2 linked regions of the Danio rerio genome follow. The protein of the gene in region 1 interacts with the protein of each later gene in a pairwise test. Links are inferred from orthologs where the notes say so. Each region holds a gene or a part of one and is shown on either strand. Other genes may lie near its edges. The genes, in order: mapk8ip3 and klc1a.

What was found.
Region 2: the proteins of mapk8ip3 (region 1) and klc1a interact in binary tests that used the Homo sapiens proteins (3 or more experiments, as listed by UniProt). The link is inferred for Danio rerio from reciprocal best matches to the Homo sapiens genes MAPK8IP3 and KLC1.

The regions. Positions count from the first base shown.
Region 1 is NC_133178.1:14,647,584-14,664,915, forward strand, and holds the end of mapk8ip3 (C-Jun-amino-terminal kinase-interacting protein 3), read left to right. Parts: intron 1-143; coding exon 144-211; intron 212-285; coding exon 286-434; intron 435-2,228; coding exon 2,229-2,400; intron 2,401-4,511; coding exon 4,512-4,625; intron 4,626-5,077; coding exon 5,078-5,116; intron 5,117-7,981; coding exon 7,982-8,143; intron 8,144-9,919; coding exon 9,920-10,066; intron 10,067-11,209; coding exon 11,210-11,334; 3' UTR 11,335-12,643; downstream 12,644-17,332. Other genes in the region: nme3 (nucleoside diphosphate kinase 3), read right to left, coding at 15,644-15,761.
Region 2 is NC_133188.1:17,808,094-17,825,425, reverse strand, and holds part of klc1a (kinesin light chain 1), read right to left. Parts: intron 10,374-17,332; exon of another isoform or gene 10,082-10,373; intron 7,360-10,081; 5' UTR 7,359-7,359; coding exon 7,083-7,358; intron 6,985-7,082; coding exon 6,919-6,984; intron 2,997-6,918; coding exon 2,832-2,996; intron 2,735-2,831; coding exon 2,656-2,734; intron 1-2,655. UniProt on the Homo sapiens protein: Kinesin is a microtubule-associated force-producing protein that may play a role in organelle transport. The light chain may function in coupling of cargo to the heavy chain or in the modulation of its ATPase activity.

The sequences.
Region 1 (17,332 bases):
GCCTGAGACTCACGATGTGTGCTTGCAACAGAATACTTTGTCAATTTTGATTTTGTGTGGATTTAAAAAAAAACTAGTAACAATCAACATTTACATGAAAAATAGTGAAAAATAATCAATTTCTGTGTCTCTTTGTGCTTCAGACATGTGAAGGGGAGAGTTTTGGTTGCTTTAGCTGATGGGACTCTAGCAATTTTCCACAGATCTGAAGGTAATTTATATATCTGTCATGCATTATTTATTCCTGCTCTCTATAACAACAACAACTGTGAACTGTAACCGCAGATGGACAGTGGGATCTTTCCAACTATCATCTAATGGATCTGGGAAGACCTCATCACTCCATCCGGTGCATGGCTGTGGTCCATGATAAAGTCTGGTGCGGCAACAAGAACAAGATCCATGTGATTCAGCCCAAGAGCATGCAGATTGAGGCGAGTTAAAGACAACACATCCTAAATCCACATCAATAGCTCTGTTTCCATCCACCTGTTTTTATGCGCATATTGCACAAGAAATGTACAATGGAAAGAGTAGGATGTGCATACATTTTGAAAATACACAGAAAATAAAACCTGATAAGAAATCAGGAAATCTGATAAGAAACCTGAAATCTGATAAGAAAAAATGAGCTTAAACAATGATGGAAATACATTTACAGAATACATTTCAGTATGTGCATCAAAAAAAAGTCATGTGATTTAGTTTAAACAGATCATGTGATAACAAAAATGTGTGATGCGGACAATCTAGCATACCAACCACACTATAAATCATCTAAAATGTAGTTTTGATCATTCTAAAATCCCTCAGCCAAAGTCTGTCATTACAGTGGTTCAGTATTATTACCTCCAGAACTGACTTAAGCTCCCAAAGAGTGTCTAACACCTTCAAAAGTTGCAGCGCGTTCATTGCGTTTCGTCTTCTGAATGTGAACGCTGCATACATGTTTATGTTTATAATGTTTGTATTTCGATTTTGCACATAAACTCTAGTAACTGCGGCTTTAGGCTTGATCATGCAAAGTTCTGTCGTATGGCACTGTGTACATTTCGGTACAGAGAGGTCATGTTTTGATCTTCTGTTGGTCTCACACAATCCCACAGATTGTAATGGTCACCAAACTTGAAACTTTGAAAAGCAGTGATATGTGAAACTCGTCAACGGAGTTTGCATTTTCTATATACAATACCTGACAAAAGTCTTGTCGTCGATCCCAGTTGTAAGAGCATCAAATAATAACTTCTAGTTGATTGTTTGTAAAAATGGCTAAAGTTAGATTTTTTCCATCTGTTGAGCTGCATCCCAATCATCACAAATAATGCAGAAGACCTACTGGAACCCGCATAGACCCTAGATTCTCACAGAAATCAGTCAAGTTTGGGTTTACATTGACTATGGAGGCGTGTGAGAGATCTGCAGAGTGGATGGCAACATCAACATCCGGAGGTAGTAAGACATTTGTGCTGCCCATTACATTTCAAACCACAGAAAAGGGCAAATTCTTCAGCAGGATCGCACTCCTTCACATCCTTCAGCCTCCACATCAAAGTTCCTAAAGCTAAGATGATATAGGTGCTAGGATTGGCCAGCCCAGTCACCAGACATGAACGTTATTGAGCATGTCTGGGGTAAGATGGAGGAGGCATTGAAGATGAATCCAAAGGATCTTGATGAGCTCTGGGAGTCCTGCAAGAACGCTTTCTTTGCCATTCCAGATGACTTTATTATTAAGTTACTTGAGTCATTGCAGAGTTGTATGGATGCAGTCCTCCAAGCTCATGGGAGTCATGCACAATATTCATTCTTTTTCCACTGCAGCATGACTTTATATTCTATACTGTACATTATTTCTGTTAAGTGACAAGACTTTTGTCTAAGCAAAGTCAGACCTTAGTGTCCTAATTAAATAATTAATAATCAAGGCATGATCATATTTTATTTGGGTAAAGTAAGTGTAATCTAGAGGCCGTTGCCTTTCATATAAACCACTTCTGATACCAAATGATCAACTAGAAGTCAAGTTATTATTTGTTGTTCCTAAAACTTGGATAGGCAAAAACACTTTTGTTAGGTAGTGTGCTGCATTTGCATGCCTATGAAGGGAAGTATATGGGGCGAAAAGCACAGTGTGACTTAATTTGCGGTCTAAATTAAATCTAGTTGGTATGGAAAGATAGCTATAGTCTCTGAACTGTGTTTTATTTCATTCTCTCTCCTTCATGCAGAAATCTTTTGACGCTCACCCACGCAAGGAGAGTCAGGTCAGGCAGCTGGCGTGGATTGGGGATGGAGTCTGGGTTTCAATCCGTCTGGACTCTACACTGCGCTTATATCACGCTCACACACACCAGCATCTACAGGACGTGGACATCGAGCCTTATGTCAGCAAGATGCTGGGTAACACTGCTCTCTTTCCGCACTTCACATTAACACAACAGTGTTCAGTTTTATGTTGTTTCATTCATTTTCCTGCGGCTTAGTCCCTTTATTTATCAGGGACCAGCTTATCCAGCATGTTTTTTTATGCAGCAGATGCCCTTCCAGCTGCAACGTCAACTGTCTTTGGTCTACTCAGTATAGCAGGCTAATGGCCTCTCAGATATTATAAATATTTAAAATAGGCACTATCCTAATGAAAAAAACTGCATGGTTGCAATCTAAACAACTACATTTTCGACAAAAAAGCCTCAAAAGTACATTTATGTTGTCCAACAGCAGCAATGCTAGTCAAACTGTAGTGTCCTATGCTTGTTGCTGCATGTGGGTGGACGAACGCCTATTTCACACCGCAAGCTTCATCGGCGCGTGAGCAGAGCGTGAGCAGCGCGTGTGTTCTCGGCGTCCATGTTAACAGATTTGAGCTTTCATACCGCACGCAGCAGCAGCGTGTCAGAGCGAGGCGTGAGCGTCGCCGAAGCAGCAGTGCAGCGATAGTTTCGGCGTTGGGTCTATTTTTGCCACACTGCTCACGCTCAATTAAAGTGACAGTGCATTGATAATGATCAAAACACAATGAATGACAGTAAAAAGTAGCAATTTTACCCAATAAATGCGTTAATATTGTCAAATGATTTATTTATAGTAAATCAAATGAACTTAAACGATTAAAAACGGCAACAAACATTTATTTAGGCCCGAACTACAAAACCAAATGTAAAACAATTTTAGTATCAGTTTTGCTTAAGTTGCACACTAGTGTTGTAGGAGAGGGGAAATAGAATATTTACAGGATTTGTAGTCCATAGCGAAGTGTATTGTGGGTAGTGTAGTTCGACACGCATGCTGGATTATGTGAGCTCGCTGTGTGCTGTGCAGCTGATGCAGAGGAAAAAAGTTTTATTCGACTTTGTTTTATGTTCACTCGAGTTATTTCTACCGGGAGCTGTTTGCACTGTGAACCTGACAACACGAAAATAAGTAAAATAATGGCATGCATTTGTTACTTTTGTCCGTCTCATCCTCTGCACGAGCATGAATTAACGAGCTGTTATTCTGCCGCTGGACATCACTGAAGCGGAGAAAGTAACACTAGTTTGATCATGTATAAATATCATTATAACTATATTGTATAAATATTATTATAACTATAGGCCTACAGCAACCTGACAATTAAAAAACAAATGACATGATATCACAGGCGATTGTCTTCTGACACTGTAGACACTTCTCATTAAGCTTGAGAAGCATACAGTACTATTTGATCTATGATTAGTAAAATAAACATTTGAAGGTTAAAGAAACAGCATAGAAGGAAGTTGCCGCGGGCCTTGGTGCAGATGAAAAGTTTAAAAAGTGTATTTGTATATAGAGAGACATGGGTAACTAGATAGAATAGACAGAGATAGGTTGAAATCTGCAGCAGCTGCCGAAGAGCTGCGCTCTGCAGACGCAGCTGGTATAAAAGGCAAACGCCTGCGTGCTGCTTCTGCTCTCCGTACGCGCTGACGCTTGCGGTGTGAAACAGGCGTAATACACAAGGGTAAAGGGTGAGAAGGCTGGTCCAGTGCTGTTACTGGCCAAATATCACATGGCTATCAGCCAATCCGATTAATGAACCAGACAGAACTGTTGTATGTATATGTATATATTTAAATTTTCAAATTTATTTGAAATTTACATCTATAATAGACTAATAGTTGTGTGATATAAATATTTTACATTCTGCTGTCTTTGATTGGGATTTCTTTTTGTTTGAAGTTGAGTTTAGAAATTAGTCAAAACTGAACATTTGGGCATTGCATTGTGTGTGTGTTTATATATTTCTTTTTGAGAAAATCTTCCATTTAAAAGACGCCATATTTAATAAAAAATTGTATTTACTTAAGCATATAATAACAATATAACAACAATGTTAAGTGTAATAAGAGATAATTTTTTTCCATTTAAACCTTTTAATATTTTTAATTAATGACAATTTTATTCATTAACATGCTTCAAATGTTATAATAGACCGCTTGTTGCAATACAAATATTTGACAACCTGCTGTCTTTGACTCTGTGATCTACAGGTACAGGAAAGCTGGGCTTCTCCTTTGTCAGGATAACGGCCTTGCTGATTGGAGGAAACCGATTGTGGGTGGGCACAGGAAATGGTGTCATCATCTCAATCCCCCTGACTGAAAGTAAGTCTCATCTGTATTTGCATGCAGACGCTATTAAAGATTAACACCTGCCCCGATCACCCGAACCCTTTTAATTTCCAACCAGCAACAATCTCCAGTCATTGGTTCATTTAAACTGGTTACTTCTGGTTTTGTGATGGACTCTATCATCCTGAAGCTGACTGAGCGGTCAAACACGAAATGATTCAAACCCCAGGTGCAGCTAAGCTAGTAAAGCAGCTTGGATCTCGTTAGCTCTCCAGTTCATTGGATTAACCTGCAACCTTTAATGTCATCATCCCAGATCACTAACCACTGGGTCAACATCCTAAATACATTAATTAGCCAATGAAGCTCCTCTTGTCTTCTCCTCCTCCTCTCCTCTTTCTGTATTGTTCCTCTCTCTCTCTCTGTGTTGTATCTGATGAGTGTTGCTCTCTCGTCCTGCTTTGTTCCTCTTCCTCCTCCTGTAGCCGTAGTGCTTCACCGAGGCCAGCTGCTGGGATTGAGGGGTGAGTGTGAACCCTGACCACCGTCACTCTTGCGGCATCGCTCACACTTCTGGTTCTTTTTCGTTTATTGCATTGGTCAAATGTCTTTCAGTTTGCTTTATTATGGATGAAGTATGTTTTCTGTGCATTGCCAACTTCATTATTTTCTTTATTTTTCATTTTTTTCATTCACTTTATTGGTCATTTTTTTACATTTTAATTTGCAGTGAGGATAAAAGTTATAGATGATATCGCCATATAGTAAATGAATGTTTGTCTTATTCTGTAAAGTGCTGATGAGATTTTTTTCATATATTAAATGAAAATGTTGTCATTTCGAGAAATTAACTTCAGATTGATAGTGATCTGAAATTTACTAAACAAGTAAACTCGGTTGTTAAATCCATTTTTTTTTCTATTTACGACTTTCTCTTTTAATGACCTTGAGAAACTGACCCATGCTTTTATTTTAGGGAGACTTGACTATTGCAATTCTTCGTTTGTGGGTATTAGTCAAAATGCCCTGATTAGATTGCAATTATTCTAAAATGCGGCTGCGAGACTTCTGACAGGGAAGTATGAGGACATATCCCCAGTTCTTTCCTCTCTGGGCTGGCTGCCTGTTAGGTCACGGATTGATTTTAATTAATAAATTTTTGTTTATAAATCCTTAAATGATATGGCACCACCCTACTTATCAGATCTCCTACTGTACATTTATGTAATCCTGGTAGATCACTAAGGTCTTCTGATCAGTTTATGTTTTCTGTACCAAGGTCCCGGTGTAAGCGGAATGGGAATCTGGCTTTTGCTGTTATCGCCCCCAAAGCTCCCACCCCACATTAGATACGCTCCAGCTCTATCTGTTTTTAAAAAGCTTCTGAAACTGCATCTTTGTTCTTTAGCATTTGAACCTTTTTAATGTTGAGGGGTTGCTGTTATGTATGTGATGTAGGGCTTATTTAATTAGTATTAATTGTGTTCATACCTTTGGGCAACGTTTTGTTATAAAAAAATGTAAAAAAAAAAAATCTAACTAATTTTCATTATATAAAAAAACACAATATCAATGTTTTCACTTTTTTAAACATGAATATTTTGTGGAAATATTAATGTTTAAAAAAAAAAGCAGATTGTTTTAAATAACTGCATTTCTCTTTACATTTTGTTAATTTGGTATCCAATTGTTTAGATTTTTTGAAATGGGAAATCAGAGAAATAAGTTTATGTATTAAACTTTAAAGTGCATATACTGCATTGGTTTAATAAGGTAAATTGTTCTCTGTTATCTACATATTAGCTTTATGGCTTCGGTAAATACAAAAAATTTCCAGAAACGAATTTATAAGTTTATTAGTCTCCATAAAATACCCCAGGTTTCATAAGGTCCATGATTGACCATATATGGTTCGTGTCGTGAATATTAATGAGCTCCACTCTGACGTGCAGCTCTTACACACAGGATTGTGCGCTGACCATAGACAAATATTAACCTAATCAGAGTGGATAAAGGCTAATTAATGATTATACTTCACAACAGAGAGTGATGGAGATTTATGGTGTTGTATTTTGAATTTACAGTCAAAGAAAACAGCCAGGATTTAGTATCAACCTGTGCATGAACAGATGACAGTTGAGCTGAGGGATTTGACACGATTCAGCAGTCTTCACGTGTTTGTTAAAACAGCTGCATCTAATTTCTCAATAAACACGATATATTAACAAAATATGTAACTGAACAAACCTTATGCCTCTTCAGAGTGGAGATAAATAAATGTTTAATGTGTAAATCTTGCATTTTGCGTACTGAGGCCAGTATGAAATGTGTCTCTTGCTTTGGTTGCTCGGTAACGCACAGTAAACATTGTGGGGCTCGCGTTTTCAAAATAAAAGTCCTAGATACATAGCAAGTGAAATTTATTTTCATATACTGATCTTGTATTATTCTACTAAGCCTTGTTATTCCCAGATTTTCATTGTTTAAGACAATAATATATTTACATATAATCTTTACATATGTAGTGTTTAATGAAACCATAGTCTTTAATTTGTCTCATCATTCACTAAAATGTATTTCTATCCATTTTGTTTGAAGAGAAATACACACACACAATAAATAATATAGAAACACTTTATAGATCGATATTGCTGTATTTCCAAGCTCTTAAGTAAAATATAAATTTAGTTTTATTTTGTGGACTACTTGTGGCTTTTTTCCACATTTAAAATAAAAATATCATTTATGTGTTAAAAAATTAACAGGCACCAGTTTTTTAAGGCATATCTATACAACTTTTAACTTTACAAGTGTTAAAAAACATTAATATTTTGTGTAAAATCTTATTTTTTCCTAAAAAGATTTTTTTTCTGTAACAAATGACAACATTTTGACTCATTTTCATAGATCTTCGTAAAATAAAACAGATATTTACTATTTACTCAAACTTGTACCAGTTTTTCAACAAGAATGAAAATATAAATCTGTAAACGTAAATCCACACATATTTGTCTGATAAATCTCTTTCACTAAACGAAATTCAGTAACCGTTAAACTCTTTTTTTTTCCAAAAACAAAGAGAAACGAAGATTTCGATGAACACCTAGGTCTTCTTTTAATGTATACGATAGTTCCATGAACTATTATTGTTGTTGGTTTTATGCTTTATGAATGAATTTTCCGTCTGTGCTTATCTCATATAACATCAGTTTATCTTCATTTCATTTATTTCAAATGCTGTGGTCATGTTCCTTTGGTTTCTTTAGTGTGCATGCTGTGAGCTCTTTGTTTTCTTCTGCACCAGATTCATGTATTAATTTGCATGCTCACAATCCCAGTGAGTTTCTAGACATTCTGCTTTCTGATTGGTGGATTCTGCTCTGTTGCAGCCAATAAGGTGTCGCCTACATCATCAGGAGGCGTGATCCATGTATATGCAGATGATAGCACCTCAGAGAAGAGCAGCTTCATCCCATACTGCTCCATGGCACAGGCGCAACTCTGTTTCCATGGACATCGAGATGCAGTCAAGTTCTTTGTGTCAGTGCCAGGTTAGTGTCAGTTATGTCCTTATTTAATCTAAGTAAATTGCAGTAATAGTAATAATAGTAATACAGAAAAAAACTATTTAGTATAACTTAATCTGTTGACGTTATGTTTCTAGCATGAATTGTTAGCATTTTAGCATGTTACCTTCATGTTTCTAGCATGTTGATGTGTTTCTAGCATGACACATTTAGCACTGCTAGCATGCTGTAGTAGTATATTGGTAACATGTAACTAACATTATTTAACAGTGTTTAACCACTTTGATAGCATCATTCTAGCATAGAATAGAATTCTAGCATAGAATGATTTAGCAACTGCTAACATGTTTCTAGCATGATTTAGCACACATTTAACAATGCTAGCATGCTGTAGTTGTAGAAGTATATTGGTAACAAGAATTAGCTACTGCTAACATGGTTCTAGCATGACTTAGCACGTTTAAAGCCTGTTTTAGTACATTTCTAGTATAACTACAAAACTAATGATGTTAATCTGCTCTTAACATGTTTCTAGCATGACTTAGCACACTGCTAACATGTTACTAGCATGACCCAGCACACATTTAACACTGCTAGCATGCTTTAGTAGTATATTGTTAACATGTAAGTAAAATGTTTAAAGTTTGTTAGTTTTAACAATTCGATAACATGTTTCTAGCATGATTTAGCACACTGCTAGCGTGTTTCTAGCATGACTTAACACACGTTTAACACTTCTAGCATGCTGTACTAGTATATTGTTAACATGTGAAGGGGACATTATACTGTCAGTGGGCGCCATCTTTCGGATGAGATGTTAAACCGAGGTCCTGACTCTCTGTGGTCATTTAAAATCCTTTTTTTCGTAAAGAGCAGGAGCCCTTAATCAGCCCTCCCAATCATCCCTATCCACTGAATCAGCTCTATCACTGTCTCTCCACTCCTCCAATAGCTGGTGTGTGGTGAGCGCACTGGCGTTGTTGTCCTGTGGCTGCCGTCGCATCATCCAAGTAGAGGCTGCACACTGGTGGTGGTGTGGAGAGACCGCCCCCCCCCCCCCCCCCCCCCCCCCTTATGATTGTAAAGTGCTTATACACAATAAATGTGCTATATAAATACACCTTACATTACATTATATGTAACTAACATGATTGAGCACTGTTAATGTTTAGCACTTTGATAACATTAAGTTTCTAGCATGATTTAACAAGTGCTAACATGTTTCTATAGCACAATTGGCACACATTTAACACTGCTAGCATGCTGTAGCAGTATATTGTAAACATTAACATTATTTAAAACTGTTATTGTTTAGCACTTTAATAACATTACGTTTCTAGAATGACTTAGCACGATTAATATTACTAACATGCTGTAGTAGTGTATTGTAAACATGTACCAAACATGATTTAATACTGTTAATGTTTTAGCACTTTGATAAGATTACATTTCTAGCATTATTTAACATACCGCTAGCATTTTTCAAGCACAATTTAGCACGTTTTTAGCATGTTGATTTCTTGTACAGTGCTACATTGAATTAGCCTTCTGACAGCATGTTGTCGTAGTGTTTTTCTTGTATTATTTTACACTATCAGAAATATTGTAGCAATTTTCTGGCATAATTTAACACTCTGCTAGCATATATTTACAGCGATTGATTTAGCACATTTTCATCATGTTTTTGCTTGCCTTTGCTAACGGAAAGTAAAATCCCCCCCCCGCCATGATATGCATGATATAGTTCTTCTGGAAATAATTTGGTCAGTCATAAACGATCTGATGTTGTGTGTTTTTCAGGCAATGTGTTGGCCACACTGAACGGCAGCGTATTGGACAGCCCATCAGAGTCTCAGGGGTCCTCGGCCCCGGCAGAAACAGAAGCACAGAGTCTTCAGAATGTGCTGGTGCTCAGCGGAGGCGAGGGTTACATTGACTTCCGCATCGGTGAGAAGCAAAAACAACACAAGCTAAATTAGCATGCATGAATGTCAATCACATGCCAGTGTTTGTACATAATCAGAAAATTATTCAGGTGCAATCATGTAAGTATTTAGGTGTGCGCATAGATTCGTCTCTCACATAGGACACTCATGCAAATTGGATCTGAGGGGAAAAACTCCACTAAAGGCTTAATGTTTTGCATAGATTGTGGTGTTAAGAAAATCGTGTATTCTTTTTTTTACCAGTCTGTATTTGAGAGTGTTATCAGTTATGGATTATAATGTAATCTTTCTGTAAATTTGAAATTAAATATGTTTAAAATTGTCTGAAATGCTATGAAACTTATAGGACTGAAAACCAGCACTGACGCCCCATTCACACAGGGCGCCAGCTTCAACGCTTCCCATTCACTTTGAATGGATGACGTCAGGCGTTGCCAAACTGCATTGTGGATCCGTCGGTTGCCGCTTCAGAGGCGTTACTCGCTGCAGAAGTTGGGACTTGCTCAACTTTTCAAGCGCCGACAGAAGCATCAGCCAATCAGATCGCTGTATGCAAATACACCACCTCAGACAGTAGCCAATTGCTGACTAATTTCATTGGCCGATGCTGCTATGACGATCGCGTCTGCCCCAACTTCAGACCTTCCCCCTTGTCAAGCGTTGACACTGAAGCCCCGTGTGAATGGGATGTCAGACTCTACACTTTAAATAAAGGGAAAAGCTTGTTGATGCTAGTGGAATAGCCTCAAAAACTCATTTATTCCAGTGTCAATTAGACTGTTTTAACACTAACAAAGGCTCTAGAATACCCAAGAAGTGTCACTCGTATAGTTTTGAATGGGAGAAAGTGTAACGATCAATATGGTGAATGAAGCCCCGCCTTTTAGTACAGGAGCCAATCATCGATCGATGTAGACTGACAATTCTCCGTGGGAGGGTCTTGGACCAGACGTGACTTTCTGCAGATTTCGTGGGATTAGAACGTTTAGAAATGAAACTAAGATAGAGTTGTTTTTTACTTTTATTCGTGACTCCTAATATGAAATTGAATCGTAAGCAAGTTTGGAGAATTTTATGTTTTCGCATTCAAACAGAATGCCTGAGCATACAAACAACAACTAATCCTAACTGACATGTTTCTCAGGTGACGGTGAGGATGACGAGACGGAGGAAGCAGACGACGATGAAGCTCCTCAGATGAAGCCAGCCTTGTCTAAAGCAGAGAGGAGTCATATCATCGTCTGGCAGGTTTCTTATGTTCCGGAGTGATTTAAACAAACACCTCCTGCCTGTACCCCCCGCCCCCTATAAATTCCCCTTGTCCCAAAGACAAAGTATGAGTCCTTTCTGTAACTTCGCCCCACGCTCCGTAACAACCACGGCCTTGTAACTACCCCTCTTTAAACTCTTATATTGACCCCATTAGCCTGTATTTCCCTCAATTATAACTACCTTTAATCCACCTCATAACGTTTCCCTCCAAAAACACACACAAAGATCAAAACGTCCTGCATCTTACTACTGAGTTCAAAGGAAATGCATATAAACAGCTTAAACCAGAACCAAAACTAAGTTCCTGAAAGAACTACCCAGTTGTTTTTCTTTTTTGCCAAATAACCCTGACCTTTATCTGTACAGTCCCTCAGCACACAGCTCACTGAATCAGGAGATCATCCTGGAAACACTGGTGTACATGCAAACAAGAGGGCAAAACCAAGAGAGCTCAATATGTAAATACTGGATTGAATCTTGCACTGCAGAGAGAAATGTGAGGCAATAGATGAGGATAATTAAATGAACGATCGGGATCGGCTGGAAGTCTTGCACAACCCAAACATGTTTCAGTGTCATCTAAAATATTGTAAACTAAAGAGATAGTTCATCTTAAAATGAAAGATCTGCCATCGTTTATTCATCATCAACTTCTTCCAAACTCATTTACTTCTGTTAAACAAAGGAAGATATCTGGAAGAATGTCACCAACCAATCAGATTGATTACAATAAATACCATGGCAGTAAATGGGTGGCAAGCTTTGTTTGGTTGCTGACATTCTTCCAAATATCTTTCTTTATATCAAAAAAACGTGTACAGGATTGGAAGAAATGTGAGTAAATGCTAGAATGTTGTTTTTTGGGGTGAACTATCCCTTCATTTCTTTTAAAGCTGGGGTAGTCTGCCATAGTTTAGTTGCAACCCTGCTTCAACGCACTTCCCTGTAGGTTTCAAACAAGCCCAAAGGATTTAATTAGTTTGATCAGGTGTGTTTAATTAGGGTTGGAACTAAACTGTGCAGAGCTGCGGCCCTCCAGGAATCGAGTTTGACACCTGTGCTTTGAAGCAACATCTCTTTAACCCCAGTTGCAGTCCTTTATTTATTGTTCCGCCTCAGTGAGATGTGTGCTGACTGGATCTGCTGCCTTCCCTCTGGGATAGTGAGCATGAGGTAAATCGAAGCCTTTGATTGGCTGTCGGTCTGACAGAGATGGACATCCCGCCCAATCGCCTTGTATGTAAATCATCACTCTGTGTTCTCTGTGTGGTATTAAGTATTAAGAAATAAACGTTTATGTGCTGAATACGTCCGTCTAAAGCGGCATTTTTTATTAAAACGCTGTCATCGTTTTGTCACTTAAAATACTCTAGATCAGCGTTTCTCAACCACGTTCCTGAAGGACCACTGGCTCTGCACATTTTCCATGTCTTCTTAACCAAACACACCTGTTTCAGATCATCAGCTCATTAGCAGAGACTGAAAGACCTGTAACTGGTGTGACAAAGGAGACCTCTAAAACCTGCTATGCTGGAGGTCCTCCAGGAACGTGGTTGAGAAACACTGCTCTACATGACATGCAGAAAACAGTATTAATTGTCACTTTTTTCTGTTGTCCACAAAAGATATTTTGAAGAAAGCTGGAAACCTGTTACTATTGACATCTATAGTAGGAAAATACTTTGGAAGTCAATTGTTACAGGTTTTAGAGGTCTCCATTATCCTGGACCAGGCCGTATCCTGAGCAGATGCTGTGGTGGTCATGGCGGAGTGGAGAACATTAGACTCATTTCAGATCGATCTCATGGGCCAGCCTGAACACACGCCGGTGACCTGCTCACACCTGCAGTTTCTCCACGATGGACATCCAGCGCCTAGACTGCAGCTCTGCACAAGATTTTTGGCCAGAGGAGAAATGGCCCAACTGAGCCTGGTGCTCTCAAGGTTTTTTTTTTTTTTTTTTTCTTCACTTTCGTCAATTGCTCAGGGTGTGCGCAAGATCTTAAAATGTCTAAAATCTCAAAAAACAAATGTTAAGCCTTTAAAAAAAATCTGTAGGTCTTAAATCTTTTTTTTTTTGGACAGGTCTTCATTTTCCTTTCTCATGTATAACTACTTAATCTGGCCAACACCCATCCAATCAGGGCTTGGCATTAACACCCGCCACATGTGGCTAGATTTCAGATGTGACCGGTTAGACAACCACTCCTACTAGCCACTTTAGCTGGTTGAAGATCATTTTTAATTTGCCAGTGGTGGCTCTTCAATTAGAATTTTAGGTCATGGTCGTTTGACAATATCCGTGCAAATGTGATCTTAGAAACAAGAAGCAGCGTGACTGATAAAAATAACTGCGTGAGCAAAAGCAAGCAGATGAATACCAAATGAGAGTTTGATCACACGGCGAACACCCTCACTCGCTGACGAGGGCTTTAGTGTCGCACACACAGCTGATATGATGCAAGCGTTTTTAAAAAGCATGTGCGCTCTCATTTTGTTGCGCGAAGCAGCAACCATGCCCGGAAACGCAACTGGAGTGATCAGTTCACTTTGAAAAAGACAGGAAAAAATTCCTGCTGCTTTAAAAATACCAGGATTTTTTTGTAAGCAGCAGCGCTTGCCGCTTTCGCTTTAACCGTTCTTGGAATAGATCAATAATGGTCGTAACGTAATCATGTGCTAGTGATCTTTTCATTATCGCACATGGAATGTTTTTCACCTGCTTTCTTTTGCTTAGTTATGTTTATTAACCCCTTCACACCTGAATTATGTTCCAAATTTAAAAAAAAAATTGGGATGTCATGTGATGTCCATTGTAATGGACGCAGGGTCTGAAGGGGTTAATGTGCTTTAAATGTCATCCTTTACAAAAACATTGCTTTAGTAGGAGATAACTCTCCATTTATATATAGTTTTCTGACCTTTAGCTGGGACCTTATCTGGAACTTTTAGCTTGGACAGATACTGTGTATAGTTTTAGATACATGACACTATTTTTTTAAAATGTCAATTGTTTTTTTAGGAACATTTTTGTTTTTGATATATTTTGTTTTTGTTTTCACACATTTAAAAAATGTGGCAATGAACTAACTTTGTTGTGGCCAGAGAACAATTAGGTGAATCCTGGTAAAGCTCATACACAACACACACACACAAAAGTTGAATGAAATGCAAGTGGACATAACAAATCATTTAAATCAAATAAGTCAAATTTATGCATATAAAATATATTTTCGCTACAACAAACTTGTGGCTAGTGGCGAGGGGCTAGCAAAATTGGAAAACTACTAGCCACAATGGCTGGTGATCAAAAAAAGTTAATGTCAAGCCCTGATCGCATCCAATCACAGACAAATCATCTCAGTAAAACTTTAACTTTTTGACACAATCGACATTGTAAAAGCGCTATAGAAATAAACATGAATTGAATAAAACATGAAAAAAAAATCATGATTTCGAACCACTTAAGGTTTCAAACTTACATTTTCATTTTTGTGTGAGCGGCCCCTTTTATTGTGATTATAAAATACAATTTACACCAATCACTTCATTTATTCCCTCTTTTTAGTAAATTATGACCCTGTTCAATTGCGTTACCTATTTCTGATTTAACCAATGAGGGAAACAATGCAACACATTTCTATATTTTGTACAAAATTAAATGCAAAGACATTTACTTCCCCTTTACGTGGTTATAAACCAAACATTTCATAAAACGGCTAAAGTCTTACCAATCTCAAACTTTTAAAAGGTAGTTTTAGTTTGCACAAATAATGGATTCAAAGTCAAAGTGAGAGTAATAATTTATTAAAGTAAGGCGGCCCTTTGGTCAGGTGAGTTCCAACCACTGAAACAAAGCATTATGTGATGTTCAAGTCAGTTATCAGAGCATGCTGGCCCTTCATTCGTTATTGCTGTCATGAGTCCTGATTAAGAAGTCTTGATTTGGAAATGTCGTTTTTTTTTTTCATAGTGCATCAAGATGACAAACATGTCTATATCAAAAGTTGGATTTAAAAATGTAAACAGTGTCTTTCAGATGGATGTAAACACTTTAGTGCAGGATTGACCAACTTTCTGAAAATGCAAACTAAGCCTAAATACACGTTTACAAAAGCAGTAAGTAAGCCGCACATTCAAGCTTGACCAATAATTGGATTTCAGATCATTTACCTTGTCAACATAAGCCAGCGTTTTTATATTTTGGTCACTCAATAGCTCGTGCAGAGCTGACTTTGATAAGCAGCTATCAGATAAAGCTGTCTGTGTGTTTAATGATGAACGCAAGAGTGTTTGATGATTGATTTCAAGCGTAGATCCAGTGCTGACCGCACTCTTCATAGCAGAACAGCTCATGATCCTCGAACCACAGGGAGATTTCCCGAGCAGCACTTTCAACAGAGTCACTGCCGTGAATCACATTCCTGCACACAGGAAGAACAGAACAATTCATGCAAAATCTTCAGACAGAAATAAACACATTCACGTCACACAACACAGTCCAAAATAACCTATAAACAGTACATCCAAAAACATCCATCTTGTTATGGATCTATCTATCAATCCATCGATAATGGATCCAATCCTGGTGTTATTCTGTAGTCAGATCTGAGTTTCAGCAGTCATGTCAAAGCAGTTATTAAATCAGCGTACTGTCATCTCCAAAACATTGCAAGAATTAGATGCTTTGTTTCCAGTGACCCATGGCAGAAGTGGAGACCCAGGTACACAATTACAGAATATGTTTTTCCATCATTTACAGGTTTTACAATGATGTATGTTTAATTTTGAATTTAAAATTATTTATAGTTACAAAACTGTCATTAAGGAACAAATTATTTCTTTTATAACTGGAAAGTAATATTGAAACCTATTTGTTGATACTGATGCCTGTTTTTCTACGCATGATTGGTGATCATAGTCAGGAATGTTGGACCATTATTGCCTTTTGTCATAAGTAAATGACAGTAAGTGTGCTTTTATTCTTGCCATAATGAAAAATATATCTGTTGAGCAACTCAATTATATATGTAGTCATTAATATTTTAATAAAGTTTAAATAGGTAAAACTGTCTGAGATATGAACAAAAGCAACTGAATCATCAAAGTTTGACTAACAAAAAATCTTGAATGATTATAAAAATCCTTCAGTCATAAAAATAATTAGTTTTAAAAGATTATTTATGATATGACACATTTCCGGAAACTTCCTACTCCTCCGTGTATCCGTCAGACTTTACAGTCACTTTCTGTTGTCATTTTAAAGAATATTACAACAGTGAATTCGGCAAGTATAAAAACCTCGTCCGTTTCGCAAGGTACACACGCACTCAGCGGAGGTGTGCGATGCGGCACCAGGCGAAAGTATAAATCCAGCTTAAGCTGAGTGATCGGGGGAGAAGGGCCTTAGTCAGAGAGCTGATCAATAACCCGATGGTCTCTGTCTGAGCTCCAGCGAAAGATGAATGCATCAATGTACAGAGACATCCTGAATGTAAACCTGCTTCAGAGTGCTCTTGACCTCAGACTGGATCGAGGGTTCATCTTCCAGCAGGACAATGACCCAAAGCACACCGCCAAAATATCAATGGAGTGGCTTCACAACAGCTCCATGAATGTCCTTGAGTGGCCCAGCCAGAGCTCAGATCTAAATCCTATTGATCATCTCTGGAGAGATCTGAAAATGGCCGCACACCATCCCTTCCCATCCAACCTGATAGAGCTTGAGAGGAACTGCAAAGAGGAAGGGGCAACAATTCCCAAAGACAGCTGTGCCAAGCTTGTGGCATCATATTCAAAAAGATTTGAGGCTGTAATTGCTGCCAAAGGTGCAACGAAGTATTGAGCAAAGGCTGTGAATACTTATGTACATGTGATTTTGCAACAATTTAAACAAATCTTTCACATTGTCATTATGGGCTATTGTGTGTAGAATGTTGAGGAAATCCATTAATATAATCCATTTTGGAATTAGGCTGTAACAAAGAAATGTGGA
Region 2 (17,332 bases), on another chromosome or scaffold:
CAATCCTTCGAAAAAAAAATTAAAAGGCTTTTTATTTGCATGTTGTTGCTTTTTTATATAACTAGTATTATATAACTATTATATAACTATAGTACTATTTTTTATTCATTTATTTAGGTTTTAATGCCATATCAGCAGCATTGGCTATTTTCATGGCAAAAATATACTACTAAATGTACAATATATAATCATATAATCATATCAATTTCTTAACAAACATACATTGTAAAGAAAAAAAACAACAACAAAACAATCCACATAGCAACAACACGGAAGAAGAGTCATATATAATCTTATAGTTTTATTAAAGATAAATACTCTAAAATTGTTCCAGAAGGTACCTTTTCAAACATTTTACTTAATATATCTACCGAATAAAAACGTTAATCTACTATTTTTTAGGGCTGTCAAAATTAGCATATTAATTAATTTAATCAGCGTGATTAATTTGAATATTTAACACATTAAAAAATAAAGCAAATGACACAGTTGCAGTTTTTTTTTTTTTTCGGTTGTAGCCGACGTGTGTTCAGGGATGGCGCGTGCATTGAGGCGACCTAGGTGGCTGGCTTGGGCAGCAGAATAGTGAGCGAACCCACCAGTCCTCACTTTCATCCGCTACACCCACCCCCTCCTTCACCATCCTTACTTTCATCCGCAAAAAGATCACTTTCTGGTTGAGGGCGGCTTGATTGCCGTTTGCCTAGACCGCCAGTTCAGCTTGCTCTGACCCTGCGTGTGTTTAATGCCTAGTTCAGACTGCGTGATTTTAGCCCTGATTTTGGCTCCCGGCCGTGAAAACATCATTATAGTAAGACAAAAATTAATTTTTTTGGTGAATTATACCTTATAAATACAGTATGTGACTCATTCATCATCATTTGTCAATGTCACTGAGCAATGTATGTGAAACAATGAAAAGACTCGTGCAGCCGCCTTTTCTTCTCTCCTGAACTTAAAAATATGATTGGCAGAATTGTAGAAATGCTGGATTAAGATCGTCTAGGGGGGGTCGAATCGAGATCGCTATCTTTTAACGATTAATTGTGCAGCTCTAGCTCCAACTCTAATCAAACACACCTGAAGCAGCAAATTAAGCTCTTACTAGATACAGTGGGGATTGAAAATTTGTATTAATGTGCATAAAGAAGCCAAGGAAAGATGGAAAAATCTCCAGAAGGCATCAAATTACAGATTAGACATTCTTTTAATATGTCAAAAAAGTATGTCAACAACAGCACGAATAATAATAATATAAAGCTCACTGTCCTGAAAGCTTTTTTGAGTGCATTTATTTAAATGTTTAGTATATTTTAAGATCACATAATCAAATTTTTTTAAATTTGCAATACATTTTTAAAACATTTTACTAGGGGTCTAAGACTTTTAGGGCTCTATTTTGCAAAATGCAAAGCGCAGAGCGCAAACGCATTAAGGGCATGTCGGAATTCACTTTTGCTAAAATAAGGATGGAAAAATCCACTTTGCGCCGTGGTAGATGATCTAAAAGGGTTGAGCTTATTTTCTTAATAAGTTATAGGTGTGTTTTGAGAATAAACCAATCAGAGTCTCATCTAGCAAGAAAACAGTTAAACAGAGCATCTGCAGTGCGAGAATGAGAGATAAGGCCTCGCATTATCTACTTTCACTTTCGCTCTCGTGGATAGGGTAACCTTGTACGCACAGACATCCATTAGCCTATACATAGTTAATTTTGTTTGCTAAGCGCAAAGATTTGTTTCAAAACTATTTATAAATTCAGTTCTAATTTCCAGCAAACGAATAAATGAACAATAATAATGAAGTGTGCTCAAAAAACTGAGTTATATCCAAATACATATGCTGTGCCCCATATGGTCTGAAACCTGCCAGGTGGGCAAATCTAAGCTTGTTTTTAATAAAACAGATATAAATATGGATATAATAAATAATACTGCTAATATTAATAACATTATACCAAAGAAAATTATCACGAATAAACTGAAAAAGCCGCCTAGATGAAAAAGGCATGAAAGTATGGTTTTTAAATTTTTATAGGCGAGAAAATGTTTTATATTATTTTAATCCTTCATATTTATATCCTATATATATCCTAATTATATCCTATATATATATCCTTAATATTTGTATTCTTTTTCATATGTAAAGATATTTGCGTAGCGTATTGCTCTACATCTTGTGTGTATTAAGCAGTGAGTAAGCGAGGAGCACACAACTAACGCGCTCTGCGCTGGACTTTAGACCGGCTTTGTTCTGGTCTATTGAAAAATCTATAATAGTTTTTTTTAAAATAGCAATGCACCAGCAATGCGCCTTAGAACGCCTTCCTTTTTAGACCAGAATGCCTTTGGGCGCACATATGAGCGCAAATGCATTTGCTATTTAAACAGAGTGGCACAAAACGTCAAAACAACTCTTGCACCAAGCTGAAACTAGCAAACAATAATTCCGTCGCGCCTTGTGCCACATTGCGCCTGGTGTATGATGGCCCTTAGAGTCTAAATTGTTACTAACTAAATCATGGTGTTTCAATAGTACTTAATAATACTCAATAATGATACTTAAGTGTTTATACTAGAAGTACATCAACATCTTGAATTTAACTAATGTCTCTTTTATCAACTGTTCAGAACTGAGTGCTTCTAAAGTACTTACTGCCAGGTCCAGGCTCATCCTGCTCATCTGGGAAAAGATCATCCAGTGTCTCCCTGCTGGAATCAGAGTCCTTATCATCCTGAACAGAAAGTGTTAGAAAGAGAGAAGCACAAGGTAAGACTAAAAAAAACAGAAAATATGGTAAATGTCATAGGGAAAATAAGGTGAGGGCTCACTGATGGGCTAAGATCTTGATCATATTTCTTGAGCTGGTTCATGAACTCCAAGTGTTTCTTCTCCTCCTCCAACTGAGCCACACTTTGCTCGCTCTTCTGCAGCCGCTGCTGGGTTCCTGCCAGCTCGTCCCGCAGCCACTGGTTCTCCTGACACAGCCTCCGTACCTGTGCAACAGCAGCACTCAGATTCACAGCATTTTCACACTACAGCTTTTACACAAAATTGCTGACCCATGTTTTCAGCAGCCCTGGCTTGGAAAGTTCTTTACCTTGAAAAGGAAAATACTGAATAAATCCTTAAAACCAGCCAGCTCAGAGGTGATTACCCATATAATGACGTGTGATTTAACGCCAAAAAAGAACTTTAATTGTAATCCTTAAATAAAGAATTAAGTTTGAAGTCAAATGCACAGAAAAAAGCGTATTGTATCTTACTACACAACAATAGTGTGTTTGATGAACACCTGAATGATCAAATGTTTTCTTGAGTATTTAATATTTCAAGTGTATATTTTTTTTATATCTTGTACCTGGGCCCAATTTTGATAAGAAAAAAAATACATAAAATATTACACTACTTAATACACTACTGTACCCTGTAAATAAAGTTTGTAATATCAACAAAACAGATTGTAAAAAAAGTTCACAAAAAACATTAATTATTTATTTTTAGTTATTGAATTGTAATTGTAAATCACCAACATTTTTACTGCAAAATATCAGTAAGGGCGATTGTTCTGTTTTACAAAACGTTTGTCAACTACATTAATCGAAAGTTTATTATTCAGTCCAGTTCTTGTCACGTGACTAGCGTTGTGCTTGCAGCATTCTTTTTCAAATAGGTGTACCTGACAGTGGCGCCCCCAGAAAATTTTCTTAGGGGTGGCCAGAAGAGGCCACACCAAATCTTGGGGTGGCACACAAAAAATAATGAATTCAGTGTAATGTTATAATTTTTGTTTCTGGTAAATGAAATAATGTGGTTTTTACTCATTTATTTAATTCCTCTTGAAATATTGCAATTTACTCCTTGAAATAATTCAGCAACTGCATGTGCAAACCAAACCAAATAAAAATCAATATTCAGTTTAAAAACATTTTTCATATATATTAACATATATAATAATAATATAATCATATAATAATGCTAATAACATTTCAGTTATTTTATTCAGTTAAATTTTCAGTTATTTTTCCACATATCTTTATTGTACAGCATACAGTATATGCCATGTCTAAAACTAATGAAAATTAATGAATGAATAAATAAACAAACAAATTAACAAACTGAACAAAAGCCATTACTTTATATACACATGCTCACTATACAGACCCTTACAATATTATTTATACATATTCCTTTTTGAGCCACAATATTATTAATACAGCTTCTTCTTTTGATGTACCTAAAGGTAAATAGTAAATTGCCATTGCTGTTTAATGAAGGTCTGTGCATGTTGTCAACGACGATCGGGGAGGCAGAGAGGCAGTAAATCAGCTACATCAATGGCACCAATTAATGCACAATAATTTATTTATTGAAAAATTGTGAATTTATGCAAGTACATTTAAATTAAGAAAAAGTGTGTGCGTTGTGCTGCTAGCACTCTGCATGCACATTGCTCTCCTCTACCGGAAATAACGAACTTGCACGCTCAAAAGACATAATATGTGAACAGCCTAAGCCACAGTTAACCCAGTGTGTGTGGGTATAACTTTAAACTAGTACACAGTTGGGATGACTTTGTTTAGTTGTAGCAGTTTTGTTCCATGAAGAAACACAACGTTAACCCCCTGGGGTCGAAGACCGCGTATATGCGTTCTGACAACCTAAATTACACTTTCAGTTTTGATCGTACAGATGAGATCAAGACATCAATCGAATCTGTTAGGTGTCTAGTTTTCAATGTGTACACTCACAATGACAACAAACGGGTGCTTTTGCAAAACAAGGATAATAAACAGTGTAGGCAATCAGTCTTTTCTCTCTCCGTGAACTGTTTTTAGAAACGCGCCAGTAAAATGCTGAAAACAAATCACACAGACACGAGACACATATCTTTCGAAAGCTTGAAGTGTCTACTTTTAATTGCAGTGAGTGCATGTTAAAAACAAATATTGTTTGATAAAGTAATCAGTATGAAACCAATGCTATGTCTAGTTTCTCAGTCTGAGTTCATTAGAGTTAATGCTACCACGCCGGTGAGTCTTTGATATTACAAATAGCCTGCATGAGACACACGCAAGTGTGGACTGTCAGGAAAAACAAATGAACTGAAACTCAGCAAATACTTAACAAAGAAATATCAGAGATTTATCTAAAGAAAGCTTGATATGTCTACTTTTGCAATAACCAACTCAAGTTGAAAACCAATAATCTCTTTTCAAGTAATTAACTGATTATATTTATGTATATGTATGTACATGTATATGTATGCATACACACACACACACACACACACACACATATATATATGTGTGTGTGTGTGTGTGTGTGTGTGTGTGTGTGTGTGTGTGTGTGTGTGTGTGTGTGTATTATTATATGTACAATACCATAGGCTAGTGGTTATATTACCACAGCAACTATTGAATTAATAAAACAAATTATGTCAAGTACTTTACTAGACTATGGTTTGAAACAACTTGTTGACTATACATTACTAATAATGCTTTTCTTGCGAGTATGGTAAACTTATTTGTGGTTACTAGTGTTAAACTATAGTTTCTTTGTTATTTGCATTCTGTTCTCTCATCAAGTATGCATATGCTATGCTACTGTGAAAAATAAATACTGCCAGTTGTTTACAAAACAGCTTATATTCAGTTTATAATTTCTATGTGGTAACCAAGATTATTAGGTAAATTAGTACTAGTGTCAGTGAACAACACAGAAATGTTAAAAATGTAGTAATGTAATCAGCTAGCTTATTTTTAAAGTAGATTTGCTATGTGTAAGTTTATATAGTTTACAGAGTTTTATACAGTGTACTGACTCTCACAAGTGTATCTAGAGTTATTTTGTGTGATAGTAAAATATATTTTAAATAAACTGCAAACAAAAAATATATATATAAACTTATTTTTTTGTCAGATTTTCTCTTGAAATTCCTAGTGACATACCTGTCTGAAGGCTCATTATGCAGCTCATTATGCAGGTCTTTGTCTTCTCAGGTGTGACTCACTGCATTAGTATTGATAGCTCACGCCTTCTTGTATAGACCATTTTCACTCAGAAAGTGACTTAGAAATTTTAATTCATTATATTGTTTTCTGTGAGCAAGTAAACAAGATGTTTCTCACATCATTTTGAAGCAAAAACACTAGGCTACAAGATCCAGTTCTCAAAAGTGTTGTGAACAAATGTTCTTCATGTGTTTCACAGCCTTGTTTCAGTGACTTCGAAATTTTAGTTTTTCACTAACTACGAAAGAATCGCATAAACGTTTCTTTCTCAAAAGCACAAACATATACAAACATGCAGCTTGGGTATTATTGTAGCCCAGCTTGTGCTGTTTACAGTGTTATCACACTTTAGTCATTAATATGTTTTTAAGATACTGAAAACAACACAAATGTCAGTGTATGTCAAAACTTCTCCAGAGTCCCAAACACCCTCAGACCCCTGAGGGTTAAGAAGCCTTTGCGATTAAATAACGTGACAAATCAAAGCTAGGTTAATAGTGAAATCAGTTAATTGCTGCATCCCTGATATATATCCAATATTTCAGAATATGCTTTCAAAAAAAACATATTGGTCAATATGACTACATGAAACATGCTTAAAAAACCACGTTAAAGAAAAGTTGTGCTAATGGAAAGTAAAATTAAAAATGTCAAATGAAATTTCCTGATAACACTTGCAAAAAACATGAAATTCCCTGACATTCAATATCTGGAATAGGGCTTTTCTAATTCTATGGCCTTTGGGAACCCTGGAAATTTATGTAGGGTATTGGCTCTTAACTGATTTTATCTCATCAATTTAGAGTTTTGACTTTCTAATCAAAAACTGATGCATGTACACCACTGAACCGGAGAGCAGTTTAATTTTACATGCGATGCAGTGTCTTTGTGTGTGTGTATGCACCTGTGCTCGAAGCTTCTGTTTCTCTGCCTCCACTGCACTCAGATGCCCTGACAGAGCCATCATCACCTGCAATGAGCAATAACAGAAAGAAAGAGGGAGAGCAGCTATGTTACCATGTTGTCAAGCAAATTTCATCACATTTTGTAATAACTTCCACATCGTACCTGTGCTTCACTGAGGCCCAGCTCCAGCATCTCCATTGAGCGTTGGATCATTGCAGTCTTCTCCTCAACAGCACGCCCCTCCTGGCTCTGTTTGAGGCAGCGCAAGGTCCCCATCAGCCCCTCCAAAATGGCCTGATGTTCAGCACGGAGCGCCTCCAGCCCCTGCATGACCTCGCGCGTCCGACATAGCAGCTCATCCTGGGATAGCTTTTCACCGAGGTCCCCCTGGCCCTCCGTCTCCTTCACACACAGCACGCTCGACATATCCTCACGCATCCTACATAGAGACACATAACACAGATGTGAGGGAACGTTTCCAGTAAAGATTAGTTTGTTTTGTATAAATGAGTGCCTTTTCCTTCTTGTTCTTGTCCATTTAAACCATTGACAAATTACTCAAATCACTGTAACTGTGAGTGCAAAAAGTGTTATTAATTAGTAATTTTTTTTATTGATTAACTGCACTAATTTATATATTAGGCCTGTCAAATAATAAAAAAATATATAATTAATCATACTTTTTTGTAATTAATCATGATTAATCACTAAAAGTGATTAATCATGATTAATCACGAAACACCGTATTTATTGCAGAAATAAAAGCACAGGCATTAAATGGCATTTGAAATACTGATTAAGAGTCTACCATGTAAGCAGCAATTTTTGATTACCTTAAAGGAACACGCTAGTCCCGAAATTAGGTTTTTCTTTTCATTTGCCATGAGGTAACAAATTCCATTAAAACGTCCTGAATGAGAATATGCTGAATGAGAGTGAACTACTGAACTGCATTTAAAGTCTAAAGATTAAAAATGAAACACCCGAAATTGCATGAAACTGGAGGAAACGCAGAATAGCCTGGTGATGCGAGGTCAGGGGGATGCTCACTATTCTGCTGTCCAAGTCGGCCACATAGGTCATCTCTATGCATGCACGCACCGTCCCTGAACACACGTCGGCCACAACAGGAAATGAAAAAAAAAAAACTGCAACTGTAGTGTTGTATATTTATTTATTTATTTATAAGAATTAAATAATCGTTCATTAATCGTAATCGAATTAAAATCTTCAATTAATCAAGATTTTGATTTTAGGCCAAATCGCCAAGCCGTAAGTGCAGTACACCTTAATCAAACTATTACCATTTTGTAGGATTTTCGCTGTTTTGCAACATGGTATTCCACCACACACTGGTGTTTGACACTATTATCTGCACCTACCAAGTCAGTACCACAGACACCTGCATCACGAATTGCAAAGTTTTTTTTTTTTTTTCAAATTCCATTAAAACAACACTTTTTTTTGTATTTACAGCAGTTAATACTCGCATCCAATATTGCTTGTCCCATAGTCACAGGGGCATGCATGAAATGTTCCTGAATGAACGTGAAAGTGCCAAACTGCAGTTAAAGTAAAAAATTTTTTAAATGAAACACCCAAAATTACATGAAATGTAGATAGCGTGGTGACACAATGTCGTTAATCAAACTATGTACTATAACATGTAAAACAGAATAATAAAAGGAACTTTCAAAAAGCAACTGATGTTAACACCTTAATCATATTATTCTCTCATTCATATTAAGGCTAATAATTCGGTTACTGATGTCCATGTAAATGTAGTCATTGTGATATCGATGTTCAAACGATAAACCATATTGTTCAGGTCTAAAAGACAGATATATAAGGCTGTCACCTGTCATTTGGAAAATTCAAGCACTCAGTGTATTGAGAAGGATGCAGTTTTGTTTGTGCTTTACTGGTTGATAAATTTCTCAGACAGACTAGATTTTAAACTTTTTGATCAGACCCTGGGATCATTATTTAATAGTTAGAGAGCTGTCTAAAAGTAATGAAAGTATTTAAAACATACATTTTATGACATACATACAGTATACTAATGTTACTTTAGTCAAACTATATTTTTTGTTTATAAACAATGAAAAAAATATTCATTTAAAAATTATGCCTTGTCATGCAGAAATTGCTTTGGCACACAATCTCTCAAAGTGCATTATGTCTATATTCAACGCTCTCTCACAGCAATTCGTAACTTTTTGGTTTAGTGAAACAATACCATCTAGTACAATTTGCTCATTCCCCAATGATGGTTGGGTTAAGGGGTGGGGCCACCCCTCCTTTTTAAAATAATACACTTTTATATAAATGAATTTGTACAAACTATCCACTACATTGACAAAACGTAAAAGAGTTATGTTTCCTCCTGAGATCACGCTGGTATTTTCAATCTGTTGAGTCTACATGGGCTGTACACTTGCTATGCGGTGCGTTGTGGGATTGAGTGCACTTCAAAAATTCAACTGGTTTTGGACACCCCTACAAATGGCTGCTTTTTTTCAATAGTGAACTATTTAAGGGTATTTGGGAAGATTTTGCATCTGAACACAGGTCGTGAAATTGAAGACTCCTGCTACAGATGTGCAAAATGTGCAGTGTTGGAAAGTGGAGCTTCATATCCTTTTTTAGTTTCCACTAGTTCTTTGATGTTGGTTTAATGCAGGAGTATCCAACCTCACACACTAATTAAACACACATAAACCAACCAAGTTATTCAGGTTCATTAAAAACGTCCAGACAAGTCAAAGCTGAACTTAGGACAATGTCCCTCCAGCAAAAGGACAGAACATCCCAAGTTTGTGTTTGAGAAACCAGGTGAAATCATAAGGTGACATCTCTAAGAAAGGCAACAAGTTTCTTCCCAGCAACCCACAATGATGTTTTTTTAGCTGGCATTTTATACTATATTTCAGGGTTTATTCAAATCACTAATTTTAGTATGAAAAACAAAAGGATGCTTGACTTGGCAAACACAATGAACACTACATTTTAAAATAACACTAAAAGACAAAAAGCAAGTTCACTCAGAGAAGCAATTAGAATGCAAACCCTCTTCAAGAATCTGAGAGGCTTCTGACTCTTCCCAGCCTGACACACGGACACAAAGCAGCTGTCTTTGCTGTTGCCAAGACACAACTCACCTGGTAAGGCAGTTCACGGTAGCCAAGACACTTAAGCACACTTGAATTTCCAAAAAACAGCAAGAGGAATCTGAGATTGTTGCCCTTTCAAATGATGTACATCCAGCCTACAGTGAAAATAATGGTAAAGGCCTTTCATTTGAAATAAACACGTCTCCACAGATTTGTTCTCTCTCATGAAAACAATCGCACATCTACTCCCTGCAATTATGATATAAAGAGAAGCAGATCTATGTGCTGCTCCTAAGCTTCGGGTTTGTGCTCTATTCCTGTGGGAGGGGAAATAGGAAGTGAGGCAGCAGATTCATGTGACCCATAAGTAGTTCATCATCTGCCATGTGACAAGCACTGGGCAGGAAACACCAATGTATGATGGGAATCAAAGTACTGAGATTCTGCTGCACATGCTGATAGGTCACAGCTAATTTGCTCCAGCGCCATTAACTACATAGCAGAGGAGAGAGGTTGCTGTCACCTCAAAAGGCAATGAGCTTTCTCCTAAGATTTTCAAATGTGACATGCTGCATCTGAAATTGCCTACTACTTGAGCAGGTACTGCATTTGAATTAGAATTTACTACACGATTGTTAGAAAAGTATGTTTTATAGAGTATGAATGGAACTCGGACGTTCTACATCTGCCATTTGTCATTATCATGTGACTTACCCACATCAGTTTCACTCCCATTAATTAATTCTCATGTGGCATCATGGGATACTGTAGCATCCATCGGATGCACACTTCAGATTCTCGCTGGTTGTGTAGGTCACCTAGTAACCTCTCACATACTGTTTGTAGAATACTATGAATTTGGACGTTACTCAGCACTTTTTCAAAGATCCTCCTCCACCCCAGCTCCACTGGTCTTTAGATCTGCTAACATATAACATCTGGGTTACAAATACAGACTGCTTGTCTGTGAATAGGTCATTCTAAATCGCTCCATGTGAAAAACGCATAAGATGGCATAATGTACCTAAACATCAACCAGAGAAACTTTACTTGTAATTAACCCTAACTACTATAAAAAGAACAAGCCCTTATTCTATACATAAAGTGAATATTAAGTGTTTTCAACCAATTAAAGTTCAAGGAAAAAGCTTAACAACAGGGGAAACTAAAATTCTATCAAAATTCACTTGTAATTAATACTAATTAACATAAAAAAGCTCATTCTGATTCCATAAAGTGAACAATGTCACGTTAAGCATTTTATTCCGATAAAGTCTATGATTTAAATTAACAACAAACGGTGAGAAATACATTTATATAGGAATATACTCATGATAAACACATTCTGCTATCAAAAGAACAGGCTCCTGCTTGCATAAAGTGAACAAATTCCCTTTAAACATTTTCCCCATAGAAATCCATTATAAGACAACAGCCTAACATGGGTTAATATACCTTAACACCAACCAGGGAAAGGAAAACCCACATTTCTGTCAAAGTTTTCTTGTGATTAACAATAACCATTATCAAAAGAACGGGCCCTGATTGCATAGATAAAGTGAACAATATCACGTTAAGCATTTTCTATTCCATTAAAGTCCACAATAAGGAAAGGCTTAACGTAACAAACAACACAAAGAAAAACACACTTAAAAAAAATGCCGTTCATAAAATCTAATTTTACTTATGATAGATTAAACTTTTTATGCTGTCAAAAAAACGTGCTCGGATGCATGCAGTTGGCATCCCCAAAACAATAGAGAAGAATGTTTAAAATAATGTTCTGGATAAAATGTAAAGTCGGAAAGATGTATTTGCAGACCCAACAAAATAGAAAAAAATAAATAAATGTCAAGAAACACTTTGGAATTGTGACTCCCACAACCAAGGGTTCCCAGTGCTATCCTTTTGTGATTGCATTGACAAGGTTAAAATGATGCCATAAACATGTGCATACAATTTCCAGTTTCCTAAAATAAAAATGCAAAAGGAAAATACCTAAATGAATGAGATCATATAAGGACATAAAAATTTAAAAACTTTACATGCCTGAATGCATCCTGCTGAATTACAAATGATAACAATCAATGATTTATTACAATGAGAAGAGGATGGGAAAGAAAGTGCTAGAGATTATGCTTATGACTGTATAACATTTTCTTGGTGTGATTAATTGCTGAAGTTTATATCGCAGCATACATTATCATCACAATATTGAAAAAAGTCGCAAAAAATAGGTATATAACAGGTATAATAATTATGAAATAATACTTGTGCATTGCTTTACTGTAAAAGAGAGAAAAATATCAGAATTATTAGCATCCTTTTGAATGTTTTTTTCTTTTTTTAAATATGTCCCAAATGATGTTTAACAGAGCAAGGAAATTTTCCCAATATGTCTGATAATATTATTTCTTCTGGAGAAACTCTTATTTGTTTTATTTCAGCTAGAATAAAAGCAGTTTTTAATTTTAAGATCAAAATGATTAGCCCCTTTAAGCTATATATTTTTTTGATAATCTACAGAAAAAAAAACATAATTAGGCAATTTATTGTATAATGATCCTAACCTGCCTAGTTAACATAATTAACCTAGTTAAGCCTTTAAATGTCACTTTACGTTAGAGGTCTGCATTCGCGCGGCTGTACCACAGGACCCGATCAGATTTCTTGCGGCATGAGAATAAATTTTCGAATAAATCGAGGGAGCGGTCGGTAACTGGTTTAATTTGAACGGGAACAGGCGGTCTAACAATATCGCTCCCGACTCCCGAGCAAGCACGCGTATGCATGTGTGTGAACGAGAGAGTGTGATGCTGTGTTTAGCTTGATTGTTGCTGTCTATGTGTGTGTGTGTGTATATGAGTATGAATGAGAGAGAGAGAGCTTGGTAATGTCTATGTGCGTGATGGTGTTTGGGTCACTTGCTTGGTGCTGTGTGTCTGTGTTAATACAGACATCTTGTTTAAGACTGTCCGGACCATATCGCTGGGAGGTTTTCGGTGGTGGGTTCGAACTAAAAACTGGCAGAAGCGAGATTCAAAATTTAGTCGAATCAAATCACTTTTATTGTCGCATCATCAGCAGCACGTGTGCTGTGATGAGTTAAAAGCTTAGGTGCTGGCTCCAGACAGTGCAAAATACAATGGCACTGCAAAATACACTTGTCACCAAGCGCAATGCAGTACAGATCTCTACTTTAAGCTGTATAGAAGAGTCTTGAAAAATATCTAGTGAAATATTAATTACTGTCATCATGGCAAAGATGCATAAGACTGCATATATATATTTATACAAAAGTTCTGTCCAGTTCAAGCAGAGACACTGTACAGTTTGACAAATATTACTGCTGAATTATATTAGTTATTAACACAATTTAATAAAAAAATTACGACTTATCAGAGTACAACTACATTTTAACATTATTTTTCTACGTTATTAGGCAATAACTAACATTATCACACATTTCAGTGAGTATTTCATCATGTAGATCACATTAGCACGTGAAAATGTTCATGTTTGAACTATTAAGCTAAATTAGAATAATTAAGCTAAATTAGAATAATTAATTATCTAAGCATTTGGGGCTGTTATGAATTTTACTGCAAATACAAAACACAAAATACTCTAAACATCTAAATATATGTATTTTTTAATGTGCCAAGGATGGGCGGTGTGGTGGCACAACAGGTAGCGATGTTGCCTCATAGCAAGAGGGTCACTGGTTTGAGCTGTTGCTGGGTCAGTTGGCGTTTCTGTGTGGAGTTTACATGTTCTCCCTGTGTTCCAGTGGGTTTCCTCCAGGTGGTCTGTTTTGCCCCACATGCGCTATTGGTGAATTTGGTAAGCTAAACTGTCCATAGTGTGTGTGTGTGAATTAGAGTGTATGGTTGTTTCCCTGTGATGGGTTACAGCTGGAAGGGCATCCACTGCGTAAAACATATGCTGGAAAAGTTGGCGGTTCATTCCGCTGTGGCGACCCGAGATTTATAGAGAGACTAAGCTGAAAAGAAAATAAATGAATGAAGAGCCCAGGATATCAAAATTATGCATGTTCATTATCACTATCTATTGAATTATTGAATATTGACAAATGTCTAGCTACAGGAATAAATAGAGGATGTTGAGGTGTAAAAGCAGACAGTTGACAAGATTGAGTATGTTGGGTGAAAGACTCATTACTCAGAGCTGTTAAGCCGATAGAACTATAGCATGACTCACAACCCTGTCGATGGTGAAATACTCTCTTGTGACCTCAAGAGGAAGAGGGAGGTGGTCCAACCTTATGCCTCGAACTAACACAACATTCTCACTGCGAAGTCACAGGAAGCGATATTGCTGATATTACAGGAAGGCCACACACCATGCCAAAATAAAACAAGCAGCAGAGATTACAAGAACAGTTCACCCAAATTGACAAATCTGTAATTTAGTCATGAAAAAAACATTTTTTGACTCTTGTTAAATTGTGAAAGATTTATGTTCATTTTAAAAATATCCTTATATTTAAGCAAAAATACAATAAATAAGATCTGAGCTTGTACAACTCTATAATGAAAGCATTACAATAGAGCTGCATGATTCTGGCTAAAATGAGAATTTTTTTTTGCTTAAAATAAAGATCACGATTTTCTCACAATGCTGTAGATGTAAAATTAAGGTTATTGAGTGGGCTATTATTATTGTTATTTTTCAAACATATGGTAAAAACTATATTATTATTATATGTAGGTCTATTGTCTATTCTCATCCACAACACTTTGTGATAGCTAAGAAAGAAAAAAGCATATCAAATGCTTGTCGTAGCCTAATCCTAACTCTATAATGCCAGATGATTATTTAAATGTTGTGCATGCTTTCAGTTTCATTTTCACTGTTAAGTGCGATTCATACTTCCCGTGAGGCCCTCAAATAATCACTCTGTTCCACAAACTGAACATTATTTACAACTTTATTACCTGTTATTCACAGCCTATGCAGGTTCTGTTCACTAAAGTAGACTTCATTCGCAGGCGCGTGCCCGCCCTCTATGTGGTAACAACTCAGTCAGCAGTTCACGTAACGTGTGATATCGCGGCCGGGAATACATCATTACATGAAGACAGAAATGACATTTTTGGGTGAATTATTCCTTATAAATACAGTATGTGACTCTTTCAACACCATTTCAACACCATTGGTCTCCACGTTGCTGAACAACGTATGTAAAACAATGTGAAGACTTGTGCGGCCCTCTTTTCTTCTCTCCTGAACTTGAAAATATGATTGGCAGAATCGTAGAAATGCTGGATTAAGATCGTCTAGGACAGGTATTTTCAAACAGGGGTCCACGGACCGCAAGAGGGTCACTGGTGGCCCGCTATGGGGTCAGAGAAAAACTTGGCAATAAGAAAAAAATGATTTACGAGGTATTTTTTTCCAATCCTAAAATTGTTATTGTATGGAAGTTTTTTCCTATCAAAATTAAAATGAAAATTCAAATGCTTAAAAGATCAAATGATAAATCAAATGCTCAAACTATAAATCAAATGCTCAAACCGACATTGCAAATGATAAATCAAATCCTCAAACGGACTCTGCAAATGATAAATCAAATGCTCAAACGGACTTTGCAAATGGTGAATCAAATCCTCAAACCGACTCCTCAAATGATAAATCAAATCCTCAAACTGACATCGCAAATGGTGAATCAAATCCTTAAACTGACATCGCAAATGGTGAATCAAATCCTTAAACTGACATCGCAAATGGTGAATCAAATGCTCAAACTGACATCGCAAATGGTGAATCAAATGCTCAAACTATAAATCAAATCCTTAAACCGACATTGCAAATGGTGAATCAAATGCTCAAACAACTCTGCAAATGGTGAATCAAATCCTTAAACTGACATCGCAAATGGTGAATCAAATGCTAAGGATTTGATTTATAGTTTGAACATTTGATTCACCATTTGCGATGTCAGTTTAAGGATTTGATTCACCATTTGCGATGTCAGTTTAAGGATTTGATTCACCATTTGCGACGTCAGTTTGAGGATTTGATTTATCATTTGAGGAGTCGGTTTGAGGATTTGATTCACCATTTGCAAAGTCCGTTTGAGCATTTGATTTATCATTTGCAGAGTCAGTTTGAGGATTTGATTTATCATTTGCAATGTCGGTTTGAGCATTTGATTTATAGTTTGACCATTTGATTTATCATTTGATCTTTTAAGCATTTTAATTTTCATTTTAATTTTGATAGGAAAAAACTTCCATATTATTGACTATAAATTATTAATTTATATACAGTTTTAAGATTTATATAAGTGGATACTTAATTGTAATGTGTTTATCTCAAAGCGCTCTTTAAGGTTTTCCATACAGTTGAATGGAGCAATAAGCGGCTGTATGTGCAAGACAGATGATGGAAAGACTTTTAAAGAATCCAGCTCCCACAAGCAGTTTATGCAAATCTGACTAGGCGAGCATTAAGGCAAAACCCAGAAAATATGACAAATCTTACATTGCGTTTGGTTTTACCTGCATGTTAAAGCAGGGACCCCAGTGTGTTATTTTTCAAGAGATTCTTTCCAACGAATGCATGAAACCATCCAAGCTCAAGCGCCATCTACAGCAGAAACTTCCCAAAGAGACAGAAAAATCAACAGACTATTTCAAGAATCAGGAGTTGTGTTTGGCCTGGAAGGCTAGCATTTTTCGGGAGCTAGTCCTTGAGAGGTGTTTAACAGCGTCATATTTGGCATCACTCCACATCGCACATGCTGAGAAGCATTGTTATTACCAGCTACCAAAGACATCATCAAATATTTATTTGGAGAGGAAGCAGCAGGAAAGGTAGATTGTGTGCCTTCGTCAGACAACACAGTAAACAGACACATAAGTTCAATGTAAATATTTAGCAGTTTACATAAATAAAAGACAGGGGGAAAAAATACAGAAACTACAAATGTCCAGGTTTAAATTTTCATCTACCAGTGTCTTATATAGAAAAGCTATCTTGTTCAGTTAATGTAAATATTTCGTTGTTATTGTTTTGAGAATCAAAATTTTGAGATTCATTTTTGGCTATAGTGAGTTGCAAACTTACAAAATAAATTGTTTTAAAAACAACACCATTTTGAATCTTTTTTCGATTAATTGTGCAGCTCTACATCACAATAATAAACACACGAGAGAAAAAGTGTAAAATTGTAATTGATCTGTGCCTTGCCACAATTCTGTCTCTGAGCTCTCTCTTTGACCTTCTCATTTGCTCTGAGCTGTAAGGTCTTAGACAGGTGTGTGGCTTTCCTAA